3 linked regions of the Arabidopsis thaliana genome follow. The protein of the gene in region 1 interacts with the protein of each later gene in a pairwise test. Each region holds a gene or a part of one and is shown in the gene's direction. Other genes may lie near its edges.

What was found.
Region 2: the proteins of AT1G49010 (region 1) and AT1G44810 interact in a two-hybrid assay, tested with the Arabidopsis thaliana proteins (one large-scale study listed by BioGRID).
Region 3: the proteins of AT1G49010 (region 1) and EIL2 interact in a two-hybrid assay, tested with the Arabidopsis thaliana proteins (one large-scale study listed by BioGRID).

What each region holds. Positions count from the first base shown.
Region 1 is NC_003070.9:18,124,497-18,135,692, forward strand, and holds AT1G49010 (Duplicated homeodomain-like superfamily protein), read left to right. Parts: upstream 1-8,048; 5' UTR 8,049-8,217; coding exon 8,218-8,642; intron 8,643-8,762; coding exon 8,763-9,282; 3' UTR 9,283-9,521; downstream 9,522-11,196. Other genes in the region: CLE11 (CLAVATA3/ESR-RELATED 11), read right to left, coding at 4,190-4,489; AT1G49015 (DPP6 N-terminal domain-like protein), read left to right, coding at 10,032-10,081, 10,154-10,205, 10,235-10,816.
Region 2 is NC_003070.9:16,918,150-16,929,275, forward strand, and holds AT1G44810 (DNA-binding storekeeper protein-related transcriptional regulator), read left to right. Parts: upstream 1-5,290; 5' UTR 5,291-5,471; coding exon 5,472-6,362; 3' UTR 6,363-6,672; downstream 6,673-11,126. Other genes in the region: AT1G44820 (Peptidase M20/M25/M40 family protein), read left to right, coding at 8,202-9,041, 9,118-9,255, 9,779-10,018, 10,107-10,205.
Region 3 is NC_003076.8:7,177,653-7,188,848, forward strand, and holds EIL2 (ETHYLENE-INSENSITIVE3-like 2), read left to right. Parts: upstream 1-4,936; 5' UTR 4,937-4,955; coding exon 4,956-6,533; 3' UTR 6,534-6,690; downstream 6,691-11,196. Other genes in the region: AT5G21125 (uncharacterized protein), read right to left, coding at 7,396-7,776; AT5G21130 (Late embryogenesis abundant (LEA) hydroxyproline-rich glycoprotein family), read left to right, coding at 8,316-9,161; emb1379 (embryo defective 1379), read right to left, coding at 9,764-10,006, 10,104-10,178, 10,295-10,522, 10,953-11,033. UniProt on the Arabidopsis thaliana protein: Probable transcription factor acting as a positive regulator in the ethylene response pathway. Could bind the primary ethylene response element present in the ETHYLENE-RESPONSE-FACTOR1 promoter.

The sequences.
Region 1 (11,196 bases):
AGTTAATTTCTTACCATTTTTCTTTAGATCAGTAGCATATTATATATGTAAATTTGTATGCGTTGAATATCAATGAACAAACTAAGAAATACTAAAAGGTTTTTGGTATTTTGAGCAATTGATCTCTTTGTTTCTTTTGGTGATTGGATTAACGTACATAACCAGACAAAAAGAATCAATGATATACATGCTGATTGGTAAGAGGAACGTAAACGGCACCTGATGGCCATGCATGATTTATATTGACAAAACGATATATAGTTTTCCATTTCTCATCGATCGTGAAACAAATTTCAGATTATTTATCAAGATTTATTGTCTCGTGATTTATATAATAATAGTGTTGAGGTTTCGCTAATTGCTGTTTGAATTCGATGAAAATGTATGTTTTTGGAAAAGAATATACAACGTTTTTCAGAAATTCTTTATTGTAGTTTAATTTTACACACTACTTTTTTATTATGTAATTATTTGGGTCGTCGAGTCGCGTTGATTGGCCTTTTATAGCGACTTGATCTTTGAATACGGCGGTGCTGGAGCTGGTCCCTCGTATGTTGACTTTTGTATTTCATTATTCGAAGAATTGACTCAGTCTTTATCGGTTCGTCATTCTTTTAACATTTTGGTATTTTAATTTTGAACTTGATATTTGCACCCAAAAAAATATATATATATATACTTCAACAACGAGTATGTAAACTTTATCCAATTTTTTTTTTTTTTGTAAACTATATCCATGGATGTACTAACATTTAACATGACAATTCTAATTTTGAGTGTTACGAAGAAAAATAATCATCTTTATAGCTATTTCGCCAATCAAATTATAAATACAAAATTACAAATCAACTGATGTGATTCAGTAGTAATTGTTTTTGGCCGTTGAAGTTAGAAATCAAATTTTACTTGGACGTATTTTTGTTGGAAATTGTAACTTTTATATCATATTTATTCAATCAAGAAAGTATTATATCTTGATATAAACTCTTTTAGCCAAGTATTAGTATTAGAATTTGGAATGTGTAACAGTAATACTTTCTACTAGTGATGACATCGTGTAATTACGCCGATTCAAATTTGATAGTGAGTACGTAACAAATTGTAGATGACAATATTTTTTTCTAATTGATATACGAAAGGCCATTTAGGGGGTTAATTGACTGGTCGTATCGTAGCAAGTCAACTATTTTTTTCTAATAGTTTGTGTGCTCTAAATTGCATTTATTTATATCCCTTAGTAACTTTATGTGATCCCAAAAGGTTCATTATTGTGTGGCAAAACTTGAAGCAACTTGGAACACATCCTTGGACATCTTTCACTCATAACTCTTTTTAGTAAAAGTATGAAGAGCAATTATGGGATACAAAAAAGTATGAACACACAAGATGACTTTTAGATTTTCCTTTATAAATACAAAAACGATACAAGAAACGTGAAATCATGAATTTACAAAGAAGAAAAAGTGGAGATTGTTCACCATGGTTTATCAGGTTGGTCCCATGTTCACGACATATATAAGTAAATATTTTGTTTTATCCATTAATTTGTAACAATTTTTTTTGTTTAAATGATGCTGTGCCGATAATTAACAGAACAACGAAAACATCATATGATATTTTAAATTTAAGATATAATTAAAGAACAATTTAAGCATCATATGATATTTTTAAAAAGTGTGCCAAATTATTTAACCGATAGCAAAAGTTGAACTAGAAGTCCAAGTTCAGCCTCATAAAAAAAAGTTGAACTAGAAGTCCATTGTCCCCAAAAAGTTAAAAAGTTGAACCGATAGCATCAAATAATTTTAAGTTTAAGATGTAGTTAATAATCGTATGCAATGCCATAGAACTCATGATTCATATCTATGGCATTGCATACTTATTTATTTCTATCTCATGTAATTTTACACAACCGTTAATTTATAATCTCTGATTCATTTTGTAAAAAGTATTGATGGTGTGGGCTCTATTTGACCTATATTAAAAAAGGTCATAGAGGGCCAATCATCTTAATCAATTGAGCCCATGTTCCACACATTAAGAAAAGCCTGAAGTGACATGAAAAGAAACGTCAAATGCGTGAATTATACTGTCTTTTCTTGGAACCAAATTTATCCTTTTAATAAAGGAAATACGAATTGAAATTTTGTCTAATTTGGCTTCAATTTTGATTTCAATTTTAGATTTTGTTCTTTGTTATTCAAAATCATTAAGGGTAATTTGGTCTTAACAATCTTCTAAACTTTATATGATCCGATTCAATCTAAACCGTTCAATAAAATTAATTCCCTTCAATCTAAACCGTTTAACAAAAATAAGTAAATAACAACTAAAAAAAATTTAAACACATTCCTCTTATCACTAAATAACAACAAAAAAACTTCCAAATATTATTTAGTTATGTTTGATTAAAAAATTTATATTTATAAACCTATTGCTCGCGGTAAACCGTGGGTGAAATCCTAGTATATAGTTATTACCGATAGCAAATACAGTACTTATCAAAACCAAAAGCTTTTTTTCTTTAGTTTATATATACCCTAATGGTGAATTTTTAGGTCCTTCTAAATGGAGGCTGAACCTGGACTTCTAGTTCAATTTTTCTTTTTTTTTGGGGACAATGTTCTCCAAAAAGATATTTCTTTATTAAGTTCTGTCTTGGTCCACAAAGAGTAGGAACTTCGGCTCTGAACTTCGCAGTAAAAACTAACACTAGATCTGATATAAACAGATATATATGTAAACGAACTTCATATATGATGACGGATTCCATAGATCTCATGTATTCATAATATATATAGTTTAATAAATTGGCTAGTGAACAAACACCATCTCTTTTGTTGACATTTGGAAGTGGGATTAGGTCCATATTTTTTGGGGATAATTGTTTTTGTTGCAGATTAATTGTCAATACCAACTATACGATTTCAGGAAAAAAAAAACCAACTATACGATTTTTGAATCAATTCGATAAAGTGTCTTATTTTCTTCTTCTGTTTGTAATATGCAAGTTAATGTATATATAGACTTTTGTGATTAAGTAAGAACATTGACAAGTAATATCAGAAAAGTAAATTTTCATGGAATAAGCTAATTTTCAATTTCACAATAATATATATATATATATATATTTAAAAATGAGCTTTTATATAGAAAATGTCTTGTGTGTGTGTTTTTTCTTTATTCGAATACGCTAAAGTTAACTAAACATGTGAATCAGGATAGTCCTGTCTGACCCGTAGAACTTCTGAACCTATAGTTTAAAGTCCGGTCCAACTCTAACATGACCACAAGGTTTTCCGAGGTTTTAAGGCTTTTTCGAGAAAAAAACTTATAATTTATAATATCGCTTGAAAAAATAATTTGTATAGAATGAGTCAATCAAAATCTAAATAAATACAAAAGCCAATTGATTTAAACAAAAAATTTCAAATCAAATAAATAATTTAAATAAATTGTTTAAACTCATACCAAATAAAATATAAAAGCAGAAGACTTCAACTTGGGAGTAGAGCCAAGATTTGTTTCTTAGGTTTATAATAAGACACAGTTACATAACTAGATTTAGAGTTTTCAACTCTATTGCAAAAAATAAAAATAAGCAATTCTCTCAATTAAACGAAAATATTAACAAAAAAAATTAAAGGTTATTCGGACCGCTTCGAATCCCGTCAGATTAAGCCCCAAAAATCCTTAAGTCCGAAAGGGATTAGCCTGAAAAACCTGATTTTTTTTGGACTTATATTTTTAAGGTCGAATCCGTTATTTTTTAAGAGTGGACTGGGCCGATATACAAACTTTGGTTCTAATTTACATGCCTACATTTAACCAAACAGATTAATTCAAAATAACCAATTAGCGCCACGTACCTTATCTTATTAACATGAACAATGTACTTTTTCTCAACATAAGAGAAAAATAATTTATGTTCAGTAAACATCATAACAAGTACTGTATAGGATAATGGAGAGATCTATATCTATAAATATATACAAAATTCGGAGCTATTAATAGATATTAATGAACCCTTCAAATCAAGAAACCATCAACAATATGATGGTAACGTCAATTTAATACACTTACACAATATTTAATCATGATATATCCATGCTCATGTATGTTGTCGTAACAAAAATATTAATCCAAAAACGCAACAAAAATCTATTGAAACAAGTCAAAAACCTTTTAGCTAGTGATGCAAAGGGTTTGGACCGCTAGGTACCACCCGTTCCTCATCATTGTACCAGAAACCGTTTTCTTTTACAGTCAGGCTTGGACTTTGACGTTGCCGTTGAGTGCGATCTTTATTCTTGAGAAACGGAGTAAAATCAAAATTACTTGCTAGAATTCTCTTATGGCCTAAACTATTAATGCCGGATTTAAGCTTGTAAGAAGTCGTAAAAGCAAAAGAAATGAGAAGGAAAACAAACAACGCAGAGAGTAGAGAGATGTGGAAGAGGAAACTACACGGCTTAGGTTGTTTCGTCATGGCCTTGTAGCTAGAGAAGAGTTTGATGAAGGTGAAGAAGCAAGAGAGGTCATGGAGCCAGAGAGAGAGAGAGAGAGAGAGAGCAAGAAAGAGATAAAGAGAAATGATTAGAGAAAAAAGGTTTGAGATTTTATGATTAAAAAGGTGTTTCTTTTTTGTTAATCTCGAAGAAATTACAGCTTGAGCGGAGTTTTATATAAGTGGGAATAATTAATAAAGTACATAGTAGTTTAATGAAAATTTCAAATTATGATATAGAGTAATACGTACTAATTTCATATTTGGCACATATGTATGGGGTTTGAGTATTGGATTTGTGAAAAAGGTATGAAAATGAGGGAAAGAAGAGAGTAAAAAAGGTTACTTTACGTTCAAGGAAGAATGGAGGTGGAGTGGTACCATTTTTAAAAAAAAAAGCCAAATAGTCAAAGTTTTGAATGTATTTGGTATGACCTACTGTTATTGGAGGTTGGGCACATTTTTTAACCTTACATCTTCAATTTATACTATACTTATTTGTTACATAAAATAAAGATTGTTTCGATATACGGGTTCGAAATAAGCCGAGAAATGCTCAAAATTAGTTTTTGTGCTACTTAGTAAATAGGACAAATTAGATTCGAATTAACTGAGCTGTCTAAATAAAGTTTGAGTAGTCCGACGTTTTGATATCGTCGCCATAATGCACGGTGGTAGTTGACTTGATGATGACTCTGATATTCCTTCTTTTTTTCCTTTCTTTTTGTTAGTTAATGACTTTGATATTCGGTTTATATTATTTAAGATTTCATTTCATCAAATATTAATTGAATGATGTTTAAGAAATTAGAGAGTTAAATATCTATTGCATATATGTCAGTAGAATACTACTTGTTTTATTTTCTTTGTCCTTTTTTGGTTGTTGGCAAAAATGGTTTTTCTTTGTTCGTTTGTAATAATCTCAATAGTAACAATATATATACTAGTAATTATCAAATCCATATAGTGATATACGCGAAGCAAATGAATCAGCGGTAGATGAAATCTCTCGTTTGAATATTTGATATTTGACTAAGATTGCGGGGATACATATAGTACGCATGCATGGATGTGAAAAACACGCAAATGTCGCGTTGCACCGGACATTTTCTTAAATTGCACTCTAACATTCTCATATCCTAAACTTTAGGCCTTATTTTCTTATTAGAGTATGTATTTACAATATTTACTTGATTATTCTCATAATTGACATATTGAAATTTGAAGCCCACAAAAAACAAAGCTTCTATAGTTCTTCTTCCGTACATTACGTTAATTTGATTCATTCCCAGCTGTAACACAATGATATATATTCGGAACTATATAGTATAATCATCCGTACAATATTGGATTATAATTTAACACATACTGTCTATGGGCCTATAAAGGCGGATAGGCCTGGACACGAAGCAAATATCCGGAAAAATTGTGATATTTGTTATTTGATTCGTTTTAATCGAATACTTGATTTTATGATTTGCTTTGATTCGAAACTTTCCGGATATCCGGAATTTTGAATATCCGAATTTTTTTGTGATATTTGCGGATATCTACTTTGATACGTATAAATATTAAAAAAATATGTAAACTATATAAGCATATCAGATATTCAAAATTTTTATTTAACATACTTTCAAAATAAGTTATAAATACCAAATATAACCTTTGTTGTTATTACCGGTCAACAAAAATGTTATCAAACTAATTCCAAAAACTAAAATCCGATAGTTTAATTTTGATGTCATTGATCAAAACACAACATAAAAAAAATGATAAAACAAACATCTTAACATAAAAACATAAGGTAGCAACAATACACAAACTATTTATGATATCTACATATAGATATAACTATATATTCTAATATATATCAAAAGATACGGATCAAAGCGGATATTCGATTTTAAAAAAGACAATATTTGCTATTTGATTCGGTTTTTACGAATACTACATTTTCATATTTGCTTTGGTCCAAAATCTTACGGATATTCGGATTTTTTGAATCAAATCAAATCGAATACCGAATCGAAGCGGATCGAACGAATATTTTACCCAGCCCCAATAAAGGCTATAACACACCTTGAGAAAGTTCAAATTCCTCAAGACATAGAAAGTAGCTAAAATATTCAAGAAACGTCTCCAACAAAAGCCCAAATATTAACAACTGGAAATATAAAAGGTTGTCTACAAAAAGCTAGCCAGCAATTTTTCAATGAATTAAGTACCCGTTAAGTTGATTTTTTCACATATTTTGATTCATTTACACTTTTTTGTTGTTGTCTTATAGAAAGTAAAGTATCCGATTCATTTAGACTTTTAAGTGTCCATATATATATGGTGTGAGATCTCACAATTCAAAAAAAACTTATTATTGAAGTGAAAGATGGTAAGAACTTTAACAAAAAAAAAAAGAAAAAAAAAAAAAGATCGTACCTTAGTGACTTGGGTGGGGTGACATACGCAGGGAAGCCTAACAGTCAAGCTCCTTATCGCGAAAGGCCCATTACCTTCCAAAGACAAATTCTGGATCAGATGACCATTATATATACGAGCTTATTTGGAAGAAAATCTTCATTCAACAACCCATCTATTAATTTCCACCTATTATTTAAAAGAGAGATGAGAAATGACGTAAAAAAAAAAAAAAAAACGTTTTTCTAGCTCTAGAAATTTATAGATGGGTTGTTGAATGAAGATTTATCATTTTATGTATTCGATACTATGTTAAATAAATTTCTTTAATCGAGTTTGTTTTCATGCATGTTCTATTAACAAGTATGTAGATCTTGGAAAAAGAAAATATTTTGATCTTGATAAAATTCTTTTTCAAATCTCGATTAGTTTATTGTTTTTCCGAATTTTGCATTTATACTATTTATGTGATGTTCGTTTGTTAGTCGTTGGCGACCGCGACCAAATGTTGTTCGTATGGAAGTCGCTGGATATAGCGACCTGCGATTATAATTTTTGGTCGCTATTTATCTTTACGACTGATTATAAAACGCGATGTCTGAATTCAGTAAACTCGGCGACGGTATTGTTTTACATTCTTTTACATTTTAAAACTCTATTATTTACATTCTCTATTAATTATAATGATGCTCACTAATATAAAGTTTTAAAATGTGATCAATTGTTTCAAACTGCATTTGTCTTAACAAAATTCAAAAAAAAAATATAAATTTTTTGAAATAAATGTTTTATAAATATCAAAAGGTAAAGCTACACTAATCTTTTGCATTGTATTCGAGTAATATAAATCGAAATGACCAAAGTCTCTAAAGAATGAATAAGGATCAAATTTCAAAGAAAAGTGAAGAGTAATCGTCAACTACAAGAATCTTATCCTATGCGTACTCTTTCCTTATGAGTGACACAATAGAAAACAAACCCAACTGATTGATCCTTGTGAATAAGATAAAGTCCCAATCAACCTCTTACTTATCCTGCGCATATGCACTGTCCTCTATACTATCATGCGCATATACAAATGTCCATTCTTATCATGCGCATATACAAATGTCCATTCTTATCATGCGCACCTCAACTTAATACCAAACAAAAAAAAAAGTTTCACAAAACTCCAAAAGGTAAAGAATCTGACCCATTCACATATGCGTTTCAAAAACACTATCATGTCCACCACACGATTAAACCAAAGAGAAGAGAGAGAGAGAGAGAAACAGAGAAGAAAAGATTGAAGCAATCGAATGGAGAGTGTGGTGGCAACATGGAGCAGAGAAGAAGAGAAAGCATTCGAGAACGCAATTGCGTTGCATTGTGTAGAGGAAGAGATAACAGAGGATCAATGGAACAAAATGTCGTCAATGGTACCAAGCAAAGCCTTAGAAGAAGTAAAGAAACATTACCAAATCCTTTTAGAAGATGTCAAAGCAATCGAGAATGGTCAAGTTCCTTTACCTCGTTATCATCACCGCAAAGGTCTCATCGTAGATGAAGCAGCAGCAGCAGCTACTTCTCCTGCCAACAGAGACTCTCATTCCTCTGGATCATCTGAGAAGAAACCAAATCCTGGCACCTCCGGGATAAGTAGCTCCAATGGAGGAAGAAGTGGTGGCTCGAGAGCTGAGCAAGAGAGAAGAAAAGGGATTCCATGGACTGAAGAAGAGCATCGGTTTCTTCTTCTTCTCCTTCATCTCCATCATCTATCCATTGATATTATTTAGACTTAAAAGAGTGAAAAAAGATTTGGAAGATTCTTTACCTTTATTGAATACTCTGTTTTGTTTGGAAGGTTGTTTCTTTTGGGTTTGGACAAGTTTGGGAAAGGAGATTGGAGAAGCATTTCAAGGAACTTTGTGATCTCAAGAACTCCAACACAAGTTGCAAGTCATGCTCAAAAATACTTCATCAGGCTTAACTCGATGAACCGAGATAGAAGGCGGTCTAGCATTCACGACATCACCACTGTGAACAATCAAGCTCCTGCGGTTACAGGAGGAGGACAACAACCGCAAGTGGTTAAACATAGACCAGCTCAGCCACAACCACAGCCACAACCGCAACCACAACAACATCATCCCCCAACAATGGCTGGATTAGGGATGTATGGTGGTGCGCCAGTGGGACAACCGATCATCGCACCACCTGATCATATGGGTTCAGCTGTTGGAACACCTGTGATGCTTCCACCTCCAATGGGAACTCATCATCATCACCATCACCATCATCTTGGAGTTGCTCCTTATGCTGTACCGGCTTATCCGGTACCGCCATTACCGCAGCAACATCCAGCTCCGTCGACAATGCACTGACTGAAAACAATACAGTTGGTATTAAAACTGACATATATTGTACTGAAAACTTGTGTACATTCTCAAATCGAATAGCGAAACTGCGGCAAATAATAATGTACAGCAGAGGAATCTGTTTTTCCATTTCAAATCTATGATTTTCTTCTCAATATATTTCTTGAAACAAAGGCCTATAGGAGGATTTCATATTCAGACAGTAGAGAGAAAGTTGAATAGAAGTATACATAGATACAACAAACAAAACATATTAAAGAGTCATAGACCAAGTGTTGACTAGAAAATTTCACCAAAAAATACTAAAAGTAGCGTAGCATGTTACTATGTAGCTGCCAAAATTGAAGTTTTATAATCTAAGAGGTGAGATAATGGGGTCTCAAGTTTATACTTATCAGAGAAGATCTCTTGTAACTGAAAATAGGCATGATGAAACCAATTGAGCAATTTGTTTGCAAAATACATAACAAAAACGTAGAAGCACAGGCCAACCTGATCTCTTATTCCAGGGAAAAAAAGTAACCAAGTCCAAAAATATGATAAGAAGAGAAGTAAAGATTCAATAATGTAAAATTCTTACAAGAGGTTAAGAATGGTAAAAACTTTTCAAGTGCCAAACTGGTGACAGACGAGAGATTCCATAGATCATCGTTGCTTCTCTACTTCCAATCTCATTTTGATGCAAAGTATTCTTATTTGCATCCAAATTGCAGGAACCCTGGTTAAGAATCTTTGATGTGAGAACTGGGAGAATAATGGCTGGAGTAGATGGTCATGTTGTTGACAACTCATGGCCTATAATTAGGTACTTTCTTGAATTTCCTTTGAATAGAATTCTTAATACATTCATTGACATAACCTCTCTTTTTTTCCTTAGATGGGCTGGGGGAAAAGATGATAAATACTTTGCCACACTTATCAAAAACACTGTATCTGTTTATGAGACTAAGACTTTCAGACTGCTACGCAAGAAGGCGCGGCTGTGAATTTTGATGATGTTGTGGGCATGTCTTGGTCTCCTACTGAACCAATCCTTTCACTGTTGAAAGGGGATGTCAAGAACCAGCCTAAAAAGGTTGTTTTTCTGCAAATACCGGGCTATGTGGAGCTGATGCACAAGGATATTCTCAGCGTTAGCGACTGTAAGATGTACTGGCAGAGCAAAGGAAAGTATCTTGCTGTCCAAGTTACTCGACATACGTGCTCTCTGTTTGAGCTTTTCCGCTTCAATAAGGTACAAGGCATTACCACCGAGGCTCTTGAAGTGGATGAGAAAATCCTTGCTTTCGCGTGGGAGCCGAGCGGTCACAGGTTTGCCGTGATTCACGGAGATCAATCAAAGCCAAATGTCAGTTTCTATTCTATGGAGACACCCCAAAACCCTGGAAAAGTTTCAAAGCTAGCTACCTTTGACGACAAGGAAGCTGATGCTCTCTTCTGGTCGCCAAGAGGCAAGCACATCGTTCTCGCTGGTTTGAAAGCTGCTTCAATGGCCATCTCGAGTTTTTCGACGTGGATAAGCTTGAGATGTAGTAGGTAGTAGGTATACAGTCATGAGCATGAGCAAGCTCTTGACAAGATATATGACCAGACGAGGAGTGACCGTAGTGTTGCGAAGTCATCTTACTGTTTGTTTTCAATAAATGCATCTCCAGTGAGACAATGAAAAAAAACAGATGCCAAAATCCCTCGTCAATGAACCAACAAGAGTATTAAGGGAAATTAACTTACTTTGAGTTGATTAAAAGTTTAAACTCAAACAACGCGTTTGGGCCTCTTACGGCCCACAATGATTTCAGCTGCTTCAAAAAAGTTGGGAAAAAAACGCCGTTGCCGGGGATCGAACCCGGGTCACCCGCGTGACAGGCGGGAATACTTACCACTATACTACAACGACTTTGATGTTCCTTGATCCTTCAC
Region 2 (11,126 bases), 1.2 Mb from region 1:
ATCACTCGTGGTTAAAATGAAAAGAAAATGACCTAATTGGAAAAGAAAACAAGAAAGTATTTCGTATTCGTATTATCGTATACGTATTTTTTTCAGGTTTATAGACATGACATTAACATTACGTATAAACACACACAAAAGTATGATGCCTAAGTCAGGTGCCAAGAAATTAGAAGTTTGCTAGGTACTAGTATTAATTTTCCTAATCCTAACGGTCTCGTATATTTCCTTTCAAGTTAATAAATAGGTACAACAATCATAAATATCTCTACACAAAGGTAAGCCGCGTAAGTCAAACCCTAAAGCAATTAGGATTTTGATATGTGTACTATAATTAGTTGTCTTAATCCGACTAGATTAAATATCACATCTTTAGACGCAAAATGCGTATTAATGCATGTCCAATTCGTAACGTTCAATAGTTTTTTTAGAATAAAATAGATAAAAGGAGATTCCCCTATTCATTGAAGACAAAATTATACCAACCCTTTATAATCTTATACTATTATGATTTGTTTGTTAAATACAAGTACACGACCATACATCTACCTCGTGTGAATTAGAATCCCTAATGTTTTGCTAGAACTAAATGATATAGATGAATAATGTTGCCTACATACAAAAAAAGAGGTTTAGACGTTAAAGTAGTTAATCATTGATTAATGTGTCTCCAATTCAACTTAGATTTATCATATGTATAGTCATGCATGTTTAAGAATTAGATAGACTCTTCTTCTATAAATGAATGGTTACGAAATAGAATAAAAATTTAAATTAAAGAGGGAGAAGAAAGAGAGAGAGGGGAAGTGTTTAACTCAAGTGGATCTCTTGCTAAACAATAATACAATGCCATTTAATTTTCAATTTTAAATTTGTTTTCCAAATTTTATTTGAATTTATGGAAATGTGTTTTGTTGTTATTTTGCCCTTTTAAATATGTTTAATATTGAAGTGGGGTTTTGACACATTGACCACCAAATGCTTTATAGTCTTAGTGCTTCTCCGTGACGCAATTAATTTCCTTTTCATTCTCACATTCACTTTGGTTTGTTATTCCAACTTTTATTTTCCTAAAATCTCTTTTTAACCATTTAAAGAAAGTATTTGAATTGACATAAATAACCAATAATCAAAAATTATCCTTTTATATTCGGGAGAAAACGTGTATATGTGATCCAAAATGTCTTTAGAAGGCTAGCTAACTGCAAAAAAAAAGAAATTAATTTTGTTAGATATATTCATAGTTAGATATTATTGATTTGGCAACTATAATTTTTTTTCTTTTAGGTTAAGCAAAAGACAAAATGGAAGAGTTCGTTCGGTGGTGGTGCGAGGAGTGGATTCCATACTGTCTAAATGATAAAGGGGTTTAATCATTGTTCCCTTGGATGATTTTTTAATTTATTTCTTTGAGTCACTTTGATCTTTTGGGTTTAGTTTTAGTCACTTAAATTATTCATAAGATATTAGATACGAATACGACGACAAAAATTCATTAGATTTGCATATATGCTCCCTTATAATTTCATAATTTGTGTAAATAATTCAGTAAAACATTTGTGTTTCATTTATTTATTTTAGTCACTTTGATCTTTTGGTTTTAGTTTTAGTCACATAATCAACTATTCATAGATGTATTACTTTTTTGCTTACTAGATATGATTCGGACGAACAACATTTGTTAGATTTTCAGATATGCTCCCTTCTAATTTCATAATTTATTTAAACAATTTGGTAGAAACATTTGTGTTACTACCGTTGCTGCAATATCATCAAATTTTAAATCTGAATAAAATTGTTGTTGAAATTTTTTTATAGAGAAAATTCTTTAATAAATTTAGAGATTTGATATTATAATCAATTCTACAAGAAAAATGCTGATACAATTATATATATATATATATATATATATATATATAGAAATATTAAAAAAATCACTAAGTAACATTATACGTGATGCACATTATATGGGCTTGAATTCGTAGTGATATATACGACGATTCTGCTAACTACATGTACGATCATATAAGAAACTGTTGAACGTTTATGTAATCAGGTTTGTATATATCAATGTTGATTATTGAGGAAAAAAAAAGAAGAACCAAGATTGATAAGAAAGTTATGTTAACTCTATGTCGGCACCAGAGGCTTCTCTTGGGGACTTTGGGTGATATGTGATTCTCTGAGAGAGGAAAAGACAACGCGACTCCTACGTTGTCGTTTAAAAGATTCAGTGGAGTTATCGTCACTACGAACTATATCGGTCGTTCAAGGCTTATTTTCAAAAGAACATTTTAGTCTTTTGCATAATTTACGGTTTTATTTTGGTTAAGTAAAAAACCAATGAAAGTCGATAGAAAGTTTCTTTGAAAAATGTAATTTTAACCGAAAATACTGGTTAAATATAGAATTCAGTGTTTGTGTGTGTATTCGCAAGTGACTAAAAAGATTGAAGTAAAATAAACAGGATCTATATCAAGCAAAAATTCAACAATAAAAAAAGGATATTGCATGTGAACAAAAAACGAAAAGAAAAGATTATGGATAATTAAAAGGGTTATTTATAAACGTAAAACCTTTTTTCTTTTATAAATGTGGCATATATATACACTGAGGGAACATGATCTGGTGATAAAGATATTCAGCTTCGATATGTCTAGTTTTAGATACATGTGACCTAAGGATACGATACGATGGTTGCTATATGTAAGATGTGATATTTCACAAATTTTTTGTCAGCAATTATTCTTATTCATATTCTTATAGAAGATTTGATTGTTTTTTTTTTTCTGTTTTGTTCCCTCAATGTCAACTAAAATTCTTTCTGAATAAAGAAACAAATATACGGATTAACAAAATGCGATTAGAGTGGAAGTTTTGTTGTTCGTTCCTTAATTCCACACTATACATTTGCTTTTTAAGGAGTGAATGGGGTTAGACAACGTACGAATACATATAATATAGAATGACATGTATAACATCATATTTGACACACGTAGATAGTTCATATAGCTACTGAACTAACATGGTCTATTATAGGTAAAATGAGTAAAGACATTATCAATTTTACGTTTGTAATTTTAATTAAAGATTCATAATCATTTCATATCTTGATATGTAGGAGTGTGGGACTCTTAAGTCTTAACTTCATCAAATCCTAACAATACCAATACTGAATTTTATAGTTATATAGTATCTAACACACTCTTGTATTTGCTCAAAGAATGTTCCAACTATTTAGATAAATTGAAAACAAAATATTTAGCTTTATTCCCTTAGAAAGTTTTTAGTAGAAGGAAACGTAAAATTTTTAAAAAGAGGGGCAATGGAGAATTATGTAGAAGGAGAAGCTGAGTGGGGGAAATAAGAGAAGTTAGAGAAGGTGGTGCTCTCGAATTAGGATTCCAACAGAGGTAAGTGGGATGCCCAAATTTGGGAACCATCTTGTTTCTTACTTTCTTTGTCTACTTTTCATAAAAATTATTATTCTCGGTTTATCTTGTTTTAATTACGTCAGTGAAACTTTATTGTTTCTCTTAGTTGATTTCTATTAGTCTTTATTCACATGATGTTTGGCTTATCAATATACGCGTGTGAAGAATGAGGAAATTTTCGTTTTCGTCAAGAATTGGTATCCATTTCTAATGACCTTTAGCTTGGACATATTAATGTGATCAAATCTTTGTTACTACTAATTTAATGGATAAAAATGTATGGATTCAAGATTTGTTTTGATGATTGCTTAACGCTAATAACAAAATCGAGGTCAAAATCATCGTAAAAATAGAACGAATTTAAATTAGAGAAAGATTTTTTTTTTTTTTGCGAACCAAACTTTAGTTTTACATGAAAATGTTCAACTAAAAATTTTAAATTATAAATGATGTGTTCTTAAATATTGTAGCTAAGAGTATTTACTTAAATAAGATATATTAAAACGTAAAACAGAGAATAAAAAATTATATAATATTTGGCCCTCGTTTTTTTTTAACCACACCCATCTTCGAATTAGAGATACAACATACGCCTCAATTGTTTCATGATTTTTTTTTTTTGTTTTTTTGCACCATTTACATGTGAATGCTTTGTTTGACATAGAAACTATTTTTAACCTTTCCAAAAATATATTAAAGTGCAAACGCACACACACCAAAAGCAAACATTTACGTTTAGCATTTACATTTTTGATAAGCAAAATAATCTTGGTTAAGATGTTAAGAGTTGTATATGTTCATTTAAGATAGAAATATGTACTAGATCTAAGTGAAAACGAAAGTGCAAAAACTAAAAACCGAGGTTAATAACTCATGTTTTTTTTTTGTCTAAGAAAATGAACAATTTAGCTAGTAAAGTAAGATACTTGTTTAGTATCATTTGTTTGGTGTTGTGAATATGAACAAGAAAATGAACAATTTAGCTAGTAAAGTAAGATAATTATAGATCTTAAGTTGAATAAACAATTGTGAGACAAGGATATGATTTGGTCAAAATAAATATACAAAATGAGAAAGTGAATGGTGACGCAAGTTTCAATTATGGGAGAGAGTGGATAGATGCCTACTTGCATGAGTGTAATCTTTCAGGGCTCAACACAAATATTTGAAAGTGAGAGTGGAGTTCCATGTGTTTGTTCCCATCTTCTTCTCTTTCTTTGTTACTCTTGAGGCTTCATCATACTCACCAACATTAGCCAAACATCTTCACTTTTCTTTCTTCATTTCTTTAAATATGGGGTCCGAGGAAAAAAAAGATTTCTTGAATTGTTATCATGTATCTTGAAAAATCATGACATTATCTTCACTAAGTTAGTAATTCATTTACATAAATTATTGAATGTGAAAAACTTTTATATCGTTTTTGATATATACTCCCTTCAGTTTTCTTTTATTTTCTAGGAAAATTTGTTTCAAAAGGTTGATTTTTAGATTTTCAATGCAATATTTATTAGTTATTATTGATGAATTATAAACTTTAATAAAAATAATTGAAAATCATTAGTTTAAAGTTATAAGAAATTATAAAATACAAAAAATAAAACATTTAAAATCAACTTTAATATGATTACCTTAATATATGTGTTTTTCCTAAACAATCGAACAAAAATGAACAGAGGGAGTATATATATATACACATAACACATGCAATAATAATTTTTTCTTCTTCCTGTTTTCTTACACATGTTTTTAGTTTGTTATTTTATTAAATTAACTGAACCATAAGAAGACAATTTCAAGACAAAATTAAAGAAGAAGAAGTTATAGATAGCAATTTTACCCAAAAAAAAAAAAAAAAGAGTTATAGATTAGCAAACAAAATTTGGTTGGGCCTGACTTTAATACACAAAAGCCCAAACTCTTAAACCCAACTGTTGTTCTGTTCTTCACCTTCTTCCCATCTAGGGTTATTACGTAACTTCTCTGTTCTCTCTCACTCTCTCTGTTCTTCATCACACCGAGAATTCGAAAATTCCGATGAACAAGAAACTTCTCAACCCTCTTGAAGATCCACCAACCGCTTCTTCAAGCGAAGACGTCGACGAAGAGATTTCATCAGGAGAAGATGAAAAAGAACATATCTCCAATTCTTCTTCTTCTGAAGAAGAAAACGAACTCAAAGATCTCTCCACTCAAACCCTAAATTCTCCTTCCACCGAGGCTCCAACTCTCGATTCTGGATCTGAGACAAATTCCGACTCAGATAAGCCAATCGTCTTAACCAGTCAGAAGAAGAAAGAAGGTACTGATTCATCAGGGACGAAGCGAGCTAGTGAAGGAACTAGCTCAAAGGACATCAAAAGAGCTAAGAAAGTTTCAGGAGATGACGATAACAAAAAATTTCAGAGTTTATGGACTAAAGAAGATGAGATCTCTCTGTTACAAGGTATGATTGATTTCAAAGCTGAGACAGGTACAAGTGCTCATGATGATATGAATGGGTTTTTTGATATTGCTAAGAGATACATAAGCTTTGATGTTAGTAAGATCCAATTCGGTGACAAGATTAGAGGTTTAAAGAAGAAGTATTTTGGTGTAAGGAAGAAGAAAGGTTTAGACTTGGATCATGATAAGAAATGTTTGGGATTGGCTAAGTCTATTTGGGGACTTGATGGTAAGGAAGTGGTGGTTCTTGGAGGAGATTCGGAGACGTCGAATTGGTTTGAGAAGTCGTTTTTGGTTCGGGTTGTTGCGAGGCTTGGTGTGGATGAGTGTATTGTGAAGTGGAAATGGAGTAAGGTGTCTAAGGAGACTAAGAAGAGGATTGAAGAGAAGATGAAGATGGTGGAGGCTAAGGAACTTGAGTTGTTGTCGCAGAAGATAGATGTTTTGAAGGAGGTGGCTTCTGTGATTGCTGAAACTATCTAAGAAGAAGGACTTGGATTGTTTAGGTTTAATGGAGATGTAATGCCTCTTTTGTTATTTATCGTAGGATATATGTTTCTCATCTATGTTTCTGGTTCTTATTAGTCTTCTTTTTTTGTTTCTTGTGTGAGAATTAGCTAAGGAACTTAAGAACTTTGGACTTTGTAAGCCTTTTGGTCGATGGTTGTAATGAACTTAAGACTTTGTAAGCTATGGCTCCGACTGGTAAAAGGTGTTTTCAAGGTTGAATTGCAGTCGAAGTTATAATTTGATGTAAATATTATGTGGTATAAACTGCAGTTTGATATTGCCCTATTCTTTTCGTTATCGTTGCGTCAGCGGTCCGCGGCCGAAAATTATAACTTATTTGCATGTAATGTATATGGAAACTAACATAATCGTTCTTGTGAAAAGAGCCGCAACGTCTATAATGTATATGTTAGACTTTTGTCCGGTGACATTTTATCTTTTTGACAACGTAAGACTGGCCCTCGTTCTGACACTGCCCATTTCTCTTTACGGTGGTGGTCGGCTTGCGTCTAGATTTCGGTGGCTTCTATAGCAATGGTGGGCTAGCTAAGATCTAGAGTTTCACCGCTTATCTTCGGTGTCTCTTTTATTTTTGGCCGGATTGTTTTTCGGTTTAGATTTATGCTTTTTCCCTCGATTTCTTTATATTCGATGTGATTGGACTCTTTTGCGTTTCAATTTTTACATTTAGAATTGTAATTCCTTAACCCTCTTTTGTTTAAAAGCTCTAGCGGTTTCCGGTAGTTTTGAAGGTTCCTTAGGTCGCTTTCTACATCGACGATGACCGGCGTCGACATTTGATTCATCTACCCACGTGTCTCAACATTGGTTAATAGCCTCACACGTGTCTCTTAGTCTCTGCATTGGATTTTTTCAGCTTATTTCCTCAAAGAGTAATAGTTTTCTGGATTGGGATTTCTTTACTTTGGGCCTAAGTTTATCAGATGGACTTGATGGTATCTTTTAGGCAATATTGGATGATTATATTGTTTAGAAATAGTTCAATATTGTGAAGTTAATGTGTCAAGCCCTGTTGGACCTCCTAGCGCAAGATATGAGGTGAGCCATTCATCCCTTATAACACTTCAGGCAATCTACCTAGCTAAAAAATTGGCTTTTGGTGAAGAGAGGTTGAAAATTACTTCCGCCAATTTTTTTTTTCCGGCCAAATAAATTCCCGCCAAAACTTGTATTTAAAATTTTTTGTAATTTTTGAAAAAACTCTTAAAAGTCCTTGTATAGTTTTTTCAAAGCATTTTAAAAGCTTTGTAAAGTTGTTAAAAACACTTGTAAATCATTTTAAAATCTATTAAAATCATTATAAAGTCTTTCAATACACATGTAAATACTTTCAAACCCCTTTTAAATCTTTCAAAAAATCCTTGTAAATATTTTTTAAAAGGGAAAAAACCTAAAAAAAACTCAACTAATTTTTATTTGAATATTTAATATCTAATTATTTTTGATTAAAAAAATACACGAAATAATAAAACTGTGCAATTTAATACCCAAATAATTAAATGCTTTTTTTTTGTTTTTTAATTAAAAATAACAATATTTAATTTTTTAAATTTTAAATTACATAATTTTATTATTTCGTGTATTTTTCTTTTAACCAAAATAATTGGATATTAAAAATTCAAATAAAAATTAGTTTTTTCCGTTAGACTGTAATTAAAAAAATATTCATTCCTCAAACATGTTACTTCATGTTTTAATTCATTTTAAATACATTTATATTACAAATTAAAACTTTCAGAAAAAAATTTGAACTTTGGTGTCACAGAAAAAAAAACCTTTCAACTTCCTTCCATGGCGATATCTCCTCTTCTCTGGACTCTTATCATCTTCTCCATAATCTTCTCACTCCAATCCTCCTCCTCCGAAGAAGACACACCAATCACACGATTCCAACAATACTTAAGATTCAACACAGCTCATCCAAACCCTAACTACACCGCACCAATCTCCTTCCTCATTAACCAAGCTCAATCAATCGGTCTCACTACCAAAACAATCGAATTCATCTCTGGCAAACCAATTCTTCTCATCACATGGCTAGGCTCAAACCCTAACCTCCCATCAATTCTCTTCAACTCTCATCTCGATTCAGTCCCCGCCGAATCAGAGAAATGGACATATCCACCGTTCTCAGCTCACAAAACCATCGACGGCCACATCTACGCTCGAGGAGCGCAAGACGACAAGTGTATCGGAGTTCAATATCTAGAATCAATCAGAAACTTGAAATCGAGAGGCTTCTCACCTCTCCGTACGATTCATATCTCTTACGTTCCTGAAGAAGAGATCGGTGGATTCGACGGGATGATGAAATTCGCGGCGTCATCGGAGTTTAAGGATTTGAATTTGGGATTTGCTATGGATGAAGGACAAGCTAATCCTGGCGATGAATTTAGGGTTTTTTACGCTGATCGAGTTCCATGGCATTTTGTTATTAAAGCTGAGGGGATTCCAGGTCATGGCGCTAAGCTTTATGATAATTCAGCTATGGAGAATTTGATGAAGAGTGTTGAGTTGATTTCTAGGTTTAGAGAGTCACAGTTTGATTTTGTTAAAGCTGGTAAAGCTGCGTATTCGGAGGTTATCTCTGTGAATCCAGTTTATCTTAAAGCTGGAACTCCTACTACTACTGTGAGTTTGATGAGTTTTTGTTTTGGTGTGGAGTTGTTGTTCAAGAGAATAAGAGTGTTTGTTTTTTCTTTTGCAGGGGTTTGTGATGAATATGCAGCCTTCAGAAGCAGAAGCTGGGTATGATTTAAGGTTGCCTCCAATGGCAGATCCTGATGTTATGAAGAAAAGAATTGCTGAAGAATGGGCTCCTTCTATTAGGAACATGACCTACTCGGTAAGTAGATGTCGTTGTTTCTGTGTGTATTGCTATCTGAAATGTTAATATCAGCTAAAGTCCATACTCTATAGTCTATAGCGTTATACAGAACTGTTTTTGTAGTTTTGTTTTGTGAAGAAGCATGGCTAAATAGAGTGAAAGAGCGCATTGACCATATACTTAGATCAGAGATCGTATCAAAGTTCTTAACTTTTGCTTTCGTCATTAGTAAAATGTATGTTTGAGATTCCTTTCAGCTACTTTTATTAAGTCTCAATAGTTCCACATTAGATTCCGTTTCTGTTTTGATTATAATGTTCATTATAGTTCTTGTTATTCTACTGCCATTAATCTGTCTATTAGGGTTATAGAGAAGCTGTTCGAGCCTGGTTTTGTGAAATATGACCTTAGATAGTTGGATGAATGAAGAAGCATGGTTTGATAGACTGAAAATCCCTTGATATAACACCATTGCTAGTGATCACCTGTTGCAAGAGTTTTCGTTTTAGTCACATCCAGATGTTTTTTTTTCTTGCAACAGATACAAGAGAAAGGAAAGTTAAGAGATCATTTAGGGCGACCTATAATGACTCCAGTAAATGATTCTAATCCTTGGTGGTCTATCTTCAAGCAAGCTGTTGAAGCAATGGGAGGAAAACTCGCAAAGCCTGAAATTTTGGCTTCAACTACAGATTCACGCTTTATTCGCACTTTGGGAATTCCAACTTTTGGGTTCTCTCCAATGACCAATACGCCTATTTTATTGCATGACCATAACGAGGTATTCACATGATGATATTATCTATTGCCATCTTTGAGTCTATATATTTAATCACAGTACTGATATAAACACTTAATTGTGGCCTCAGTTCCTAAAGGATACTGTATTCATGAAAGGAATAGAAGTATATGAATCGGTTATCAGCGCTCTAAGTTCCTTTGAGGGAGAATCTGCTCAAGTGATTTGAAGCATGTATATATGCAAACAATTGTGACACACTGCTTATGGTCAAGGCTCACATTGCTATGACCAAGAAAAGTAGTAGCTGTTTCATCTGTAAGTTATTTTTATCAACACTTACTCTTGCTTTAACACCCTTAAGTGGTTGGTAATAATCCTTTGTATATATATCAGACATTTGATTTGCCTGCATAATTCTCTAACTCTGAAGAGAAAATGTCATTGGTGCTTGGAGCATGATTTCACAAAGTGTTGATCTTTTTAGCTCTCAATGTTCTAATTTTCAGGAGTTGTTGTAACATATCACTTGCATAGCATCAGAGATTATTTCATATCACTTGATTTAGTTATTGACTTTACGGCTCTGAAAATAAACAAACCATTCGTGTGGGTCTTCTCTCCCCGAGTCTCGACCCTTCCGGTCTTTGTTTTCGCAGTTGTGCAACTTATGGTTCCGGTTTAGTTTCAACTTTCTTTCAGCTATTTTGCTTTGAAGATGGTTTTAAGACAACTTGAGCTTCATTTTTCCTGGCATGCGTTGTGGTTTATTCAGATCTACTTCATCTTCTATTTACTTGTGTTGGACTAAAAATTATTGGTGATTCTGTTCATGATGGTATCTTGAGCTGGAGATAAATTCTTCCTTTGGCGGCAATTTTGTTGTGGACCTTTCTCTCGTCGTGGACTTTAGTTTCTTCTTGTAAGCCCAAATGTTAGAAGAGTTTGTGCTGTTTTTCTCGGGAAAACGGGGAAAAAGTGTATTTCTACCATTTGTGAAAAGAGAATCTCTAAAATCACATAGTACTTGATCATCTAGTTTGAAACTTAATGTCTCAAAGTCAAATAAACCTTAATGTGTCATATGAACTACCATTATAGATCTATGTTCTCTATTAGTATGTGAGTCTCATTCTCGTTCGATAGTCGG
Region 3 (11,196 bases), on another chromosome or scaffold:
TTTAGTTAAACTACACCGGCAAACTTTTGCTTCACTTAAGATAATTTTTATCTGTAGTTGTGAGAATATTTGGGTTTGCTATTTTTCGTTTTGTGAAAATATACAAAGTGATGTTGTATAATAATTGTTATTTGGAAAGGTATTGTTCAAATACAAGTTTGTATAAGTACATTTGAGTTTTAGATTTAACAAAAGAAAAAAATAGAGATACAGAAGTATAAAATAGTCCTAAATATACCAAGTCATATAAGAAAGTTGGAGTTGACGAGATAGTGGCAGGACAACTCGTCTTTGTTGACAACAAATTGAAAATTTTAATTTGAGTTAAATGAGCATTTTGGAAACTTGATGCTTGAATTTGTGCTTTGTACTAATAGATTGTTGAAAAGTTGCTTCAATTTCGCTATGATGATATTTATTTTAAATTTAAGTTTTTTTATTAATAAATATGTTATGGTACATTTCATATCAATCGAAACTTAAGACTTCTCCATTGTAATTGAATTTAAACTTAGATTCATTGGGCCTAGCAACATTATTGAGTTTGGTTAGCTATTTGCTACTCATCTCACTTGTCTTAACTTTTTATTGTTTGCATCCTTGCATATAAAATGATAGAACACGAATATCCATTGCGCCCTCTCGGACTGCTTTAGAAGACTATAACCCAATTCCCACTACTGTAATCAGGGCACCGTGATGACACAATTACATAATCTCAAAATCCTCACCCGCATTCGTTTGGAGCTGTGTACACCTGACAGACATTCACACTCTATCTCCTAAAGAAGTTAAGAAATAGGTTGTCCTTGAATAGGTAGAAACTGAAGACAATGTAGTGAGATTCAAACTAACCAAATGATCCCAATATCTACAATGCAAAGAAACTGCTAGTATCATGAGCTCAATGGAAGCAAAAACACTACCCATGGCTACAACCTCAAACTTTCGACATTGGGAATATGGATGCAAATGAAAGATCAAGATCATGGACCTTCATAGGACAGCCACGTGTTGCTACTTCCGTTGACATGTGCATAGGACTTAGGTTGAACTAATTAATGTCTAGGCCTGCTTCTTCATCGTTTTGCATTTGATTCTCTAGGCTTAGTTCGGCCACAATATGTTTTACATATCTTCATGACTTTACATTTTTATGCCTTGCTAATGTGTTTTTGTCACTTAGTTTTAAACGCTACATACCTTATATGCTGCATAAATCCTTTATGGTATCTTTCGAGGAAGGAGGCTGGGGATCAATCTTTGTGGGAATACCCTTCTATTGTTGATGGTGTCAAGATAACTCCGTTTGTTCTCATCCGTATCATTTACCTTGAAGCAGGTATAAATTCATCGGAATTTACTTTTAGAGGATTCATGATTGTAATAGTTGCTAGTTACATCTCAAGCCCTACTAGCACGCAAAACTCTTGAAACTGTGCATAGTCTAGTAGTATATTGAGATATAATTAATGGTTATGGACATTTTACGGTTTGAATAATAAGTGACAATCTATGTCAAATGTGTTTTAAGTGTACTTATAAGAAGATAATAAAAGCCTCTATGACTATGAGTTGACGAATTTTCAACACGATTTGAGTTTGAATAATTTTGGCGACCGACCATTCGAGAGACATGGGCACTATAAGGCATATAGGCCAAAGCAAGGACGTTAAAAACAGTTTACGAGTGGTCGTTAATTGGTTAATGTGTACGATAGATAGTTGCATATTTTCACATACTATATTAATAAAACATTACTTATAGGAAAACGACGAGAGTTCCAATAATTGTGGAGTAGCCGACAAAAAAATCCCGGGAGACACGTTTCAGACATTTTAAAGAATCATTGCTGGCGACGAAACGTGCCTTCGTGGCACTTGTTTACTTTCCTATTGGCTATTTGGTTATATTCATTGCACCTCTTCTACATTTTCTCTAAGAAAACATTATATTATCATATTAAGAAATAAATACTAAAAACATCATGCTGGTATTGTTTTTCTTTGATTTGAAATAGGTTTTATACCCTATAATATATAGTTGTACTATATACCGTATCTCATTTGAACTTAAAATCAAATATGATATTTAGATAACTAGTTGACATTTCTAAAGGATAACCAAAATAAAATAAAACGAAAGTATTACCTGTTTCATTACCCACACGTTGACCGTTATACAAACAGTTATAGATAATATATCATCATAATTAAAGGTCAACATTTCATGATTTATTAAGTAGTTTATATAACATTTTGCAATGAGAAACCCGACAATTTATAGTATGGCGCCAAGATTACGAAATCTCAAATACCTATCTTTTAATGGGAGAGTTTTAAAATCGAAAAACGAATATTTGATGAGAGTTTTATTTTATTTTTTGAGTCGTGCATTACAAATATCACTGTGAAAAATGTTGATCGATTTACATAAGAATCATAATCGTCCATTGGATATATAGACAATGTGATTTAGAAGGTTATATATTTGTTTGTCTAAAGAAAAAATAATATCTTCAATTATATGACACAGTTTACAATTCAGCATAGAAAACAATACAATAAGCTACAAAGGATTGTTTTAAATAGATTTTAAAACACCATATTATCATCTTTAAATTTTGGCTTCTTGAGATGGTCTGGATAAATAGAAAATTATTAAAATAAAAAACATTGTTAACTACTAATTTTATATTAAAAATACATTTATGGAATGCTTAAAGGAAAATGGGGAAATATATATAGACAGTAATACTAGAAACCAATCTGTTGGTCAAATATTTAGAGCCAGTATCCAAAGGGATTGAATGTATATTAGTATATATAAGATATCATAAATTCATAGAGAATACAAAATTCACAATTCTTAATACAAAATACTTACCTATATGAAACTTTTCAATTTTAATGCTATGAGCTTGTGCAATTTAAAAGGCTCTTATATCTAGCATATACTAATATAATGCAAAAACAAAAATGGTAAACTAAGTATTTTTATTCTATTCTAAAGAATGTCAAATTGTATGCTTTTAAATGTTTAAACAAAAATCATGGAAATTTGGTATTTTGTAAGAAATTGAAAGCGCCACAATTCTGAGCTATTTTAAGGAATTCTTCAATAATTTTGTTTTTTTAGCATTATCATATATGTATCAGAATTAATTAGTGAGTACTGGCAACATTTTTTCCCTTTTCTTTCATACTCTGCCAGCTTTTGTATTTAAAACTATGATATTTTTTTCTATATCATATTATGTGATTTGTTTACATTTTCAAAGCAAAATGTAATAATTTCTATATATTTTATGACAATGTGCATTTTTTACTTTATTTTTATTGGTTGGACTGTGATTAGATAAATCATAAAATATCTTTTGATTTAGTAAAATAAAGAAAATCATTAATTTCTTAATATGGAAAAATTTAAACGTTTTTATTTTGATACAAAGAGAGTAATTATTTTGTAAGTCTTTGGGCATGATAAGTTTTTAGTATTCAGGACTTGGTAGAACTACAAGAATCTCATTTAAATTCCATTGTAAAAACTAATTGATAAAACTAATACAAGTAAATTAGTATAAATAGGTTGTATTTTGTTTTTTTTAAAGTATAAATAGATCGTACGGAACTACTTACTGTTTTACTATTTGTTTATCTAGACCGATATATTTAGATACAGCTCCCCATGAAATTAAATGCATTAACAAATTTTAAAATTCAAACATACGCACCAATTAATTTAAAGCTATTATTTAAATATTTTATAAAAAAAAAATTACATGCTACGATTTTATACCATTAAAATAGTAAATTTACGTGCCTTAGAAAATGTCTATATTTGGTACTTGATTCCTATTTGTTTTCAAAAATACTCGCTTTATGTTTAGGGGTTATATTTTTCCCGCTTAAGCATACATCTACATTTGATATTTTTCTTATAGTAGACATGATTATATTTTTTATATTGATATTAATAATTTTAGGCTATCAAACAAAAAATAATTTAGGCAGAAATAACCATTTTATGGGCATGTTAATTTTTCTTTTTTTTAAAAGAAGTGACTATATATTTAAATAAAGAATCTGAACTAGAAATGGAATGAAACTCAAAGGAGATAAATAAGAAATTTTTACCATATCCTTACACAAAGAAATGTGTCGTTTAGCATGGTTTTTACAGGCCTATTATCACCACCCTTTCGCAGTCTCTTCTTATTTAATGCTCATAATATATATAGATACACAAACATACATACATACATGTCTCTATCTCTTCTCTCTCTCTGAAGGTCCCAATAGCTTCTTTGGTTTGAATTTGGTGGCCGAAGCAACACAAAGGTCTCAAGAGTTTTCTGGGTATATTCTCTTCTTCCTTCGATTTCTCTTTATTTTTGTTTTTGTTTTGTTTTGCTTTTACGTATATTGTCTGCTTGCAAATATTGTTTTTTGACTTGTTGGGTTTGGTCTATCTGATATTTTGTCCGATGGGTTCCATTTTCACTTTTGCAAGATCAAGTATTTCAGTAGTAATACGGACTGGATTGTTTTGTCGTTATATGCTTTGATAAGAATCAAAAGAAAGAAAAAGATCGATGCTTTTACTGTATAATCATTTGATGATAAACCATTAATCTTGTTTGTGATTTTCTTTTACCTTCTCTAAATATTTCTCCTATATTATGTACTTAATCTCTTTGGTAGTAGTTTTCCTATAGTATTTATTCAATCCCTTGGGAGTAATAACTAATGGAATTTGGATCTCTAAATCTTTGTGTTATTCATATGATGAATCTTATTTCACAAGTTAGATCTCTCGATCTTTCACTAAAAGTCTCTGTTTTTTTCTTTTGTGTTATGTTATTGCTAGAGAGTTTTAATTTAGATTTTGATAAATACGGCATTACTAAATGACGATGATTATGCAATTTTATTCTTAAAGTGAATCATAGTTGATGACATTATTTGCAGATTCTATGGATATGTATAACAACAATATAGGGATGTTCCGGAGTTTAGTTTGTAGCTCGGCGCCTCCATTTACAGAGGGACATATGTGTTCTGATTCGCATACGGCTTTGTGCGATGATCTGAGTAGTGATGAGGAAATGGAAATAGAGGAGCTTGAGAAGAAGATCTGGAGAGACAAGCAGCGTTTAAAGCGGCTCAAGGAAATGGCGAAGAACGGTCTAGGAACAAGATTGTTGTTGAAGCAGCAACATGATGATTTTCCAGAGCACTCTAGTAAGAGAACCATGTACAAGGCACAAGATGGGATCTTGAAGTACATGTCGAAGACAATGGAGCGATATAAAGCTCAAGGTTTTGTTTATGGGATTGTGTTAGAGAATGGGAAAACGGTAGCGGGATCTTCTGATAATCTCCGTGAATGGTGGAAAGACAAAGTGAGGTTTGATAGGAACGGCCCAGCTGCTATAATCAAGCACCAAAGGGATATCAATCTTTCTGATGGAAGTGATTCAGGGTCTGAGGTTGGGGATTCTACCGCACAGAAGTTGCTTGAGCTTCAAGATACTACTCTTGGAGCTCTGTTATCGGCTCTGTTTCCTCACTGCAACCCTCCTCAGAGGCGGTTTCCGTTGGAGAAAGGCGTGACACCGCCATGGTGGCCAACGGGGAAAGAAGATTGGTGGGATCAACTGTCTTTACCCGTTGATTTTCGAGGTGTTCCGCCACCTTACAAGAAGCCTCATGATCTCAAGAAGCTGTGGAAAATTGGTGTTTTGATTGGTGTAATCAGACATATGGCTTCTGACATTAGCAACATACCCAATCTCGTGAGACGGTCTAGAAGTTTGCAGGAGAAAATGACGTCAAGAGAAGGCGCTTTATGGCTCGCTGCTCTTTACCGAGAAAAGGCTATTGTTGATCAAATAGCCATGTCTAGAGAAAACAACAACACTTCTAACTTTCTTGTTCCTGCAACCGGTGGAGACCCAGATGTTTTGTTTCCTGAATCTACAGACTATGATGTTGAACTGATTGGTGGCACTCATCGGACCAATCAGCAGTATCCTGAATTTGAAAACAACTACAACTGTGTTTACAAGAGAAAGTTTGAAGAAGATTTTGGGATGCCAATGCATCCAACACTCCTAACATGTGAGAACAGTCTCTGTCCTTATAGCCAACCACATATGGGATTTCTTGACAGGAACTTAAGAGAGAATCACCAAATGACTTGTCCTTATAAAGTCACTTCCTTCTACCAACCAACTAAACCCTATGGTATGACGGGTTTAATGGTTCCTTGTCCGGATTATAACGGGATGCAGCAGCAGGTTCAGAGCTTTCAAGACCAGTTTAATCATCCCAACGATCTCTACAGACCAAAAGCTCCACAAAGAGGCAACGATGACTTGGTTGAGGATTTGAATCCTTCTCCTTCGACGCTGAATCAGAATCTTGGTTTAGTCTTACCTACTGACTTCAATGGAGGTGAGGAAACAGTAGGAACAGAGAACAATCTGCATAATCAAGGGCAAGAGTTGCCCACATCTTGGATTCAGTAAAGAAAGCTTCAGAGTTTTCTTTTTATGTTTTCTAGTCTTTATAGCTTTGTCTCTTGCTTATTCTCTCATTAAACACAGTTTTTGATCTCTCCATTTCATAGCCCATGTAGCAATGGAGAAGATTAGGTTTCATAATAAGTTAATAACCAAATTCAAAGTAATTCATTATGTGATTTGAAGAGCCTCTCTTTTTGACAAAAGAACAGTAGAAAATGCTTTATTTGTTTAGACTTTAGAGGTGTGTATTTGTGTTCGCCTTGGGCTTCAAGGAAGAAGGCGTTTGTAGACATTTTTAATATTAAATAATTTAAACTTTGTTGGTATGATAATATTTTTATTTATGTCTTTTTATTATGTCTTTTTATAGGGAATTGTTTTCTATAAATAACAGATTTTTTATGTGTTAAATTAATTTTGTGCCTTTAAAAGAGATTAATGGTTAAAAGATGTATTTCTATATAAATCTCAAATTGAAAAATCAAATAAACTAAGTTTGACGATATGCTATTTTAAAGTTAATATGAATAATTTCAGAAATATTTAAATGATATTTCGCATATTAAATTCATAAAATAAAACTATGTGAAGACCTTACTATATAAAACTATACCTTTTTCGGCAAATCAAATACTTATATTATAAAGAGTTTACAAGAAATATAAATATTTCCAATACAACCGTTGATACAAATAAAGAAAATCGAAACAATTGATTATAAAAGAAAAAAATTCAATGTATTGCTATAATTCACTATAATGATCATATTTACTTTTTTGAATCTAATGTTAAATTATATTCAAAAAAAAAATGTTCGTTGTACAATTTAGTGGTTCGTGAGTTTGAAAATAAATTTTAAAAAGATCTAAAAGAGTAAAAAAAAAAACGCTTGTAAAAGAGCAGCTTGGTTTGGTGACCTCAGGAGCTTAAACTCTAGCAAGGATCCATGCTTGATACGCTTTGTCGTACCGTCTATCTCCTCTTGTTCGAATGGTGGAAATATGAATACAAATTTGTTTATAAATCCATTTTGTGATAAGAGCCCCCGGATGTGGTTCCTTTTTGTGCCTTCTTCCATTCCTCTCCTTTCAAATTGTATAGACAGTGGTTTGTAGAGCATAGCGAGACAGATAGCTCTCCGCTCTACTTTGCTTTGGTTCGATACATAATCCAAGACTTGAGCCCAGTCGGTTCTGTACTGATTTTGAAGATGCCCTTTGTTATTGCCTCCCATATCGTCTCCCATATAATGATCACATCACTCATCTACAAATTTGTATTTATTCAAATGATCAAATCCTTACCGGTTTTTTCTTACCACTATTCCATTCCATGCTAGGATTGGCTGCATCCTCTCATTTCAGTCAAGTTAAGCTCTTTTGTCTATTACTTTATTTCATTCATTTTCTTCTTCAATATTTTTTTTTTTTTTTTTTTTTTTCTTCTTCAATTTTTTTTCTTGGCAAAAATGTTTTACATTGACCAATTTTTACATTCCGTATATTCTATTAAAACTTTCCATTCAAGGTTCCTCCAATTTCTTTCTCCATCTGTACTAATGGAAAATTTAATAGATAATCAACAAAATAATATATACTCATTAAATAATTGTTATTAAAAGAATCTCCAAAATGATATTTGGACGATATTCATGCAATCACGTCCTAATCTCCAAATATGCACTTTCTTTATCTTATAATAAAATGATTTACTCCAAATCCTTACTGTCACCAAATCAAAACCTTCATTTCATCTGCTTCGCATTATTTCTCTGATTCAAGAAAAATGACGGTCGAGAAACCACAAGAAATGACCGGCGATACAAACTCCGACGGATTCCTAACTAACAAAGACGTTCACAGAATAAAGCATCCATCGCTAGATACCAACGATAGTTCCTCCAGCCGATACTCCGTCGATTCTCAGAAATCAAGAATAGGACCACCGCCTGGGACTTACGTCATCAAACTCCCTAAGGATCAGATCTACCGTGTTCCTCCACCGGAAAATGCTCACCGTTACGAGTATCTCTCTCGCCGGAAAACAAACAAATCGTGTTGCCGGCGATGTTTATGCTATTCCCTCTCTGCTTTACTCATCATTATCGTCCTCGCAGCGATTGCCTTCGGATTCTTCTACCTCGTTTACCAGCCGCATAAGCCACAGTTCTCCGTGAGTGGAGTCTCCGTCACCGGAATCAACCTGACGTCATCTTCTCCGTTTTCTCCGGTGATCAGAATCAAGTTGCGATCTCAGAACGTTAAAGGTAAACTCGGTTTGATATACGAGAAAGGAAATGAGGCTGACGTGTTTTTTAACGGAACCAAACTTGGGAACGGCGAGTTCACGGCGTTTAAGCAGCCGGCGGGTAATGTAACGGTGATCGTGACGGTGTTAAAGGGATCGAGTGTTAAGTTAAAGAGCTCGTCGCGTAAAGAGTTAACGGAATCGCAGAAGAAAGGAAAAGTGCCGTTTGGTCTCAGAATTAAAGCGCCGGTTAAGTTTAAGGTTGGCTCCGTTACAACGTGGACGATGACCATTACGGTGGATTGCAAAATAACAGTGGATAAGTTAACGGCGTCAGCAACTGTGAAGACGGAAAATTGCGAAACGGGCTTGAGCCTGTTGTAAAATTTGAGCTAGTTTTGTTTATGCCTTGATGGGCTTTGTTCGAATTATGTTATTTTTAGTTTGTTTGATTCAATATATATTTTTGAATTAAAATTGAAATTTGCTCTGTTCAAATTGGAAGTTTGAATTTTAGTTTTACATTTGGAAAAGAGAAACATATTGACTGAAATATTTTGAAATGACTAAAATTAGTAGAAAATCTAGGTGAAATTAGATTCTTAATAAGAAAAAAATCATAAAACTCGGCATTAATGCATTTCAAGTCAATTGGATATCTTAACATTTGTTGAAATATTTTAAGATATCCTACCATTCTTAAATAAAAAATTTTAAATTAAAATTTTACATTTATAAGTTCATTTGAATTTTAGTTAAATGCACAAAGGACAAAATCACATTTTAGTATAAATTCTCGGAATTAAAATTTAAATATATTGTAGACTTTAACCGAGGAGTTTAAATATATTTTAACACTCCATGACTCCATTAATGATCCACAAGAGAAAGCATCAGATCATACCAAACTTCTAGTGATGTTTGGACATAGAACGGCCATCAAAATATACATCTAAGCCCTAAAACCGGAGTTCTTAAACGGTTTTTTACCTCGAGTGCCCAACGCTACGGGTTACTCTTCTCGTATTAGCACCACTAGTTGAAGCTAAAGAAGCTTGAGAAGAACCATTTTCAGTTGAGTCTCGCTGTTGTCTTCTTCTTTTGGCTTTTGGAGCTGTTGCTTGAGTCTCGCTTTCCTCTTCATCATTCATTGCTTCTTCAGCAGCTTCTGTTTTTGTAATTTTACTCAAGGGCCATGGCTTCCCGCAACCAGAGCAACGTTTATCATCCTACAATTTCAATGTGATCAGAATGTAAAATACTATTGAAGTCAAACTCATATACCATTATTGAGGAAAATCTAAAGAATATGTGTGTAGTGTGTACCCTTTGAGATAACAATTTTTTGAGGCAGTACTTGTGTATCCGGACAGGGCAACCTTCGGTTGGACACAAATCTGCCTGAAAAGTTGGATACGAGTGTCAGAAAACAAAGCATCAGATATTGAATCAGTAGCGAATAAGTTTATCATCACAATGTGAGTTCTAATCCAATCAGGTTTTTTCAGAATGCAGACCTTTACTCCAGCTTCATTGCAGACCTCACAGGAAGGAACATCATTGTTTCTGAACCAACTGCGAAGGTCAAGAAGAGATCTTATACCAAGTCCAATGTTTCTCTCTCTTGTGCGGCACAGCCACTTGTCCCTTACAAGTTCATCGAGAGTTTTTTCCTTTTGTGTCATTGAAAAGTTCTTGAAAGCAGGAGGGACTTGCTGTTGACTGCTGCTGGCTTCACTTGATATCTGAGATATTAACACAAGATCTGTCAACCGAAACAAAGAGAATACATTTATACAGTCCATAGCAATAATAGCTTTAAAATTCATTAATAGTCTTCACCACACTGATAGATGAGAATATCTGAGACATTTGAGATTCGTTTATTCATATTGATTCAACAATCATAAACGGGGATAAAACACTTCATACAAAAAACACAACTCAGAGTGCATGCAATTTTATCCACAAGCGCACAAGCGACAAAGTTGATTATCGTTTGAGATCATATCTCATACAGAACAGAATACTATACTTTCAAGCGACTCTGTAAGGTAGAACCAGTATTGAAGTCACCATGATCAGTTAATTGAACAATGGATATGGATGGATTCATTTAGTCAATAAATGAAGAGGTAAATATTAGATAGACATAAGTCAGAGACTATGACTGACCTGATTCTCCAATCGAATATTAAGAGCATCAAAGCTCGATATGCAACCTTGAGCAGCTTCATCCTGTGCAATTGCTTCTATCTGCCAGAAGTTAAAGTCATCAATGTCACAGAAAAGTAGCACAGATATCCATCCACTGAGTGCACACATAGCAAGAAAAGGGAATGACAAAGGAGAAATTTATATGTTATATAAACTTGTGGCAAAGAAGAGTGAAATCCAGATAATGATAACTCGTACAAAT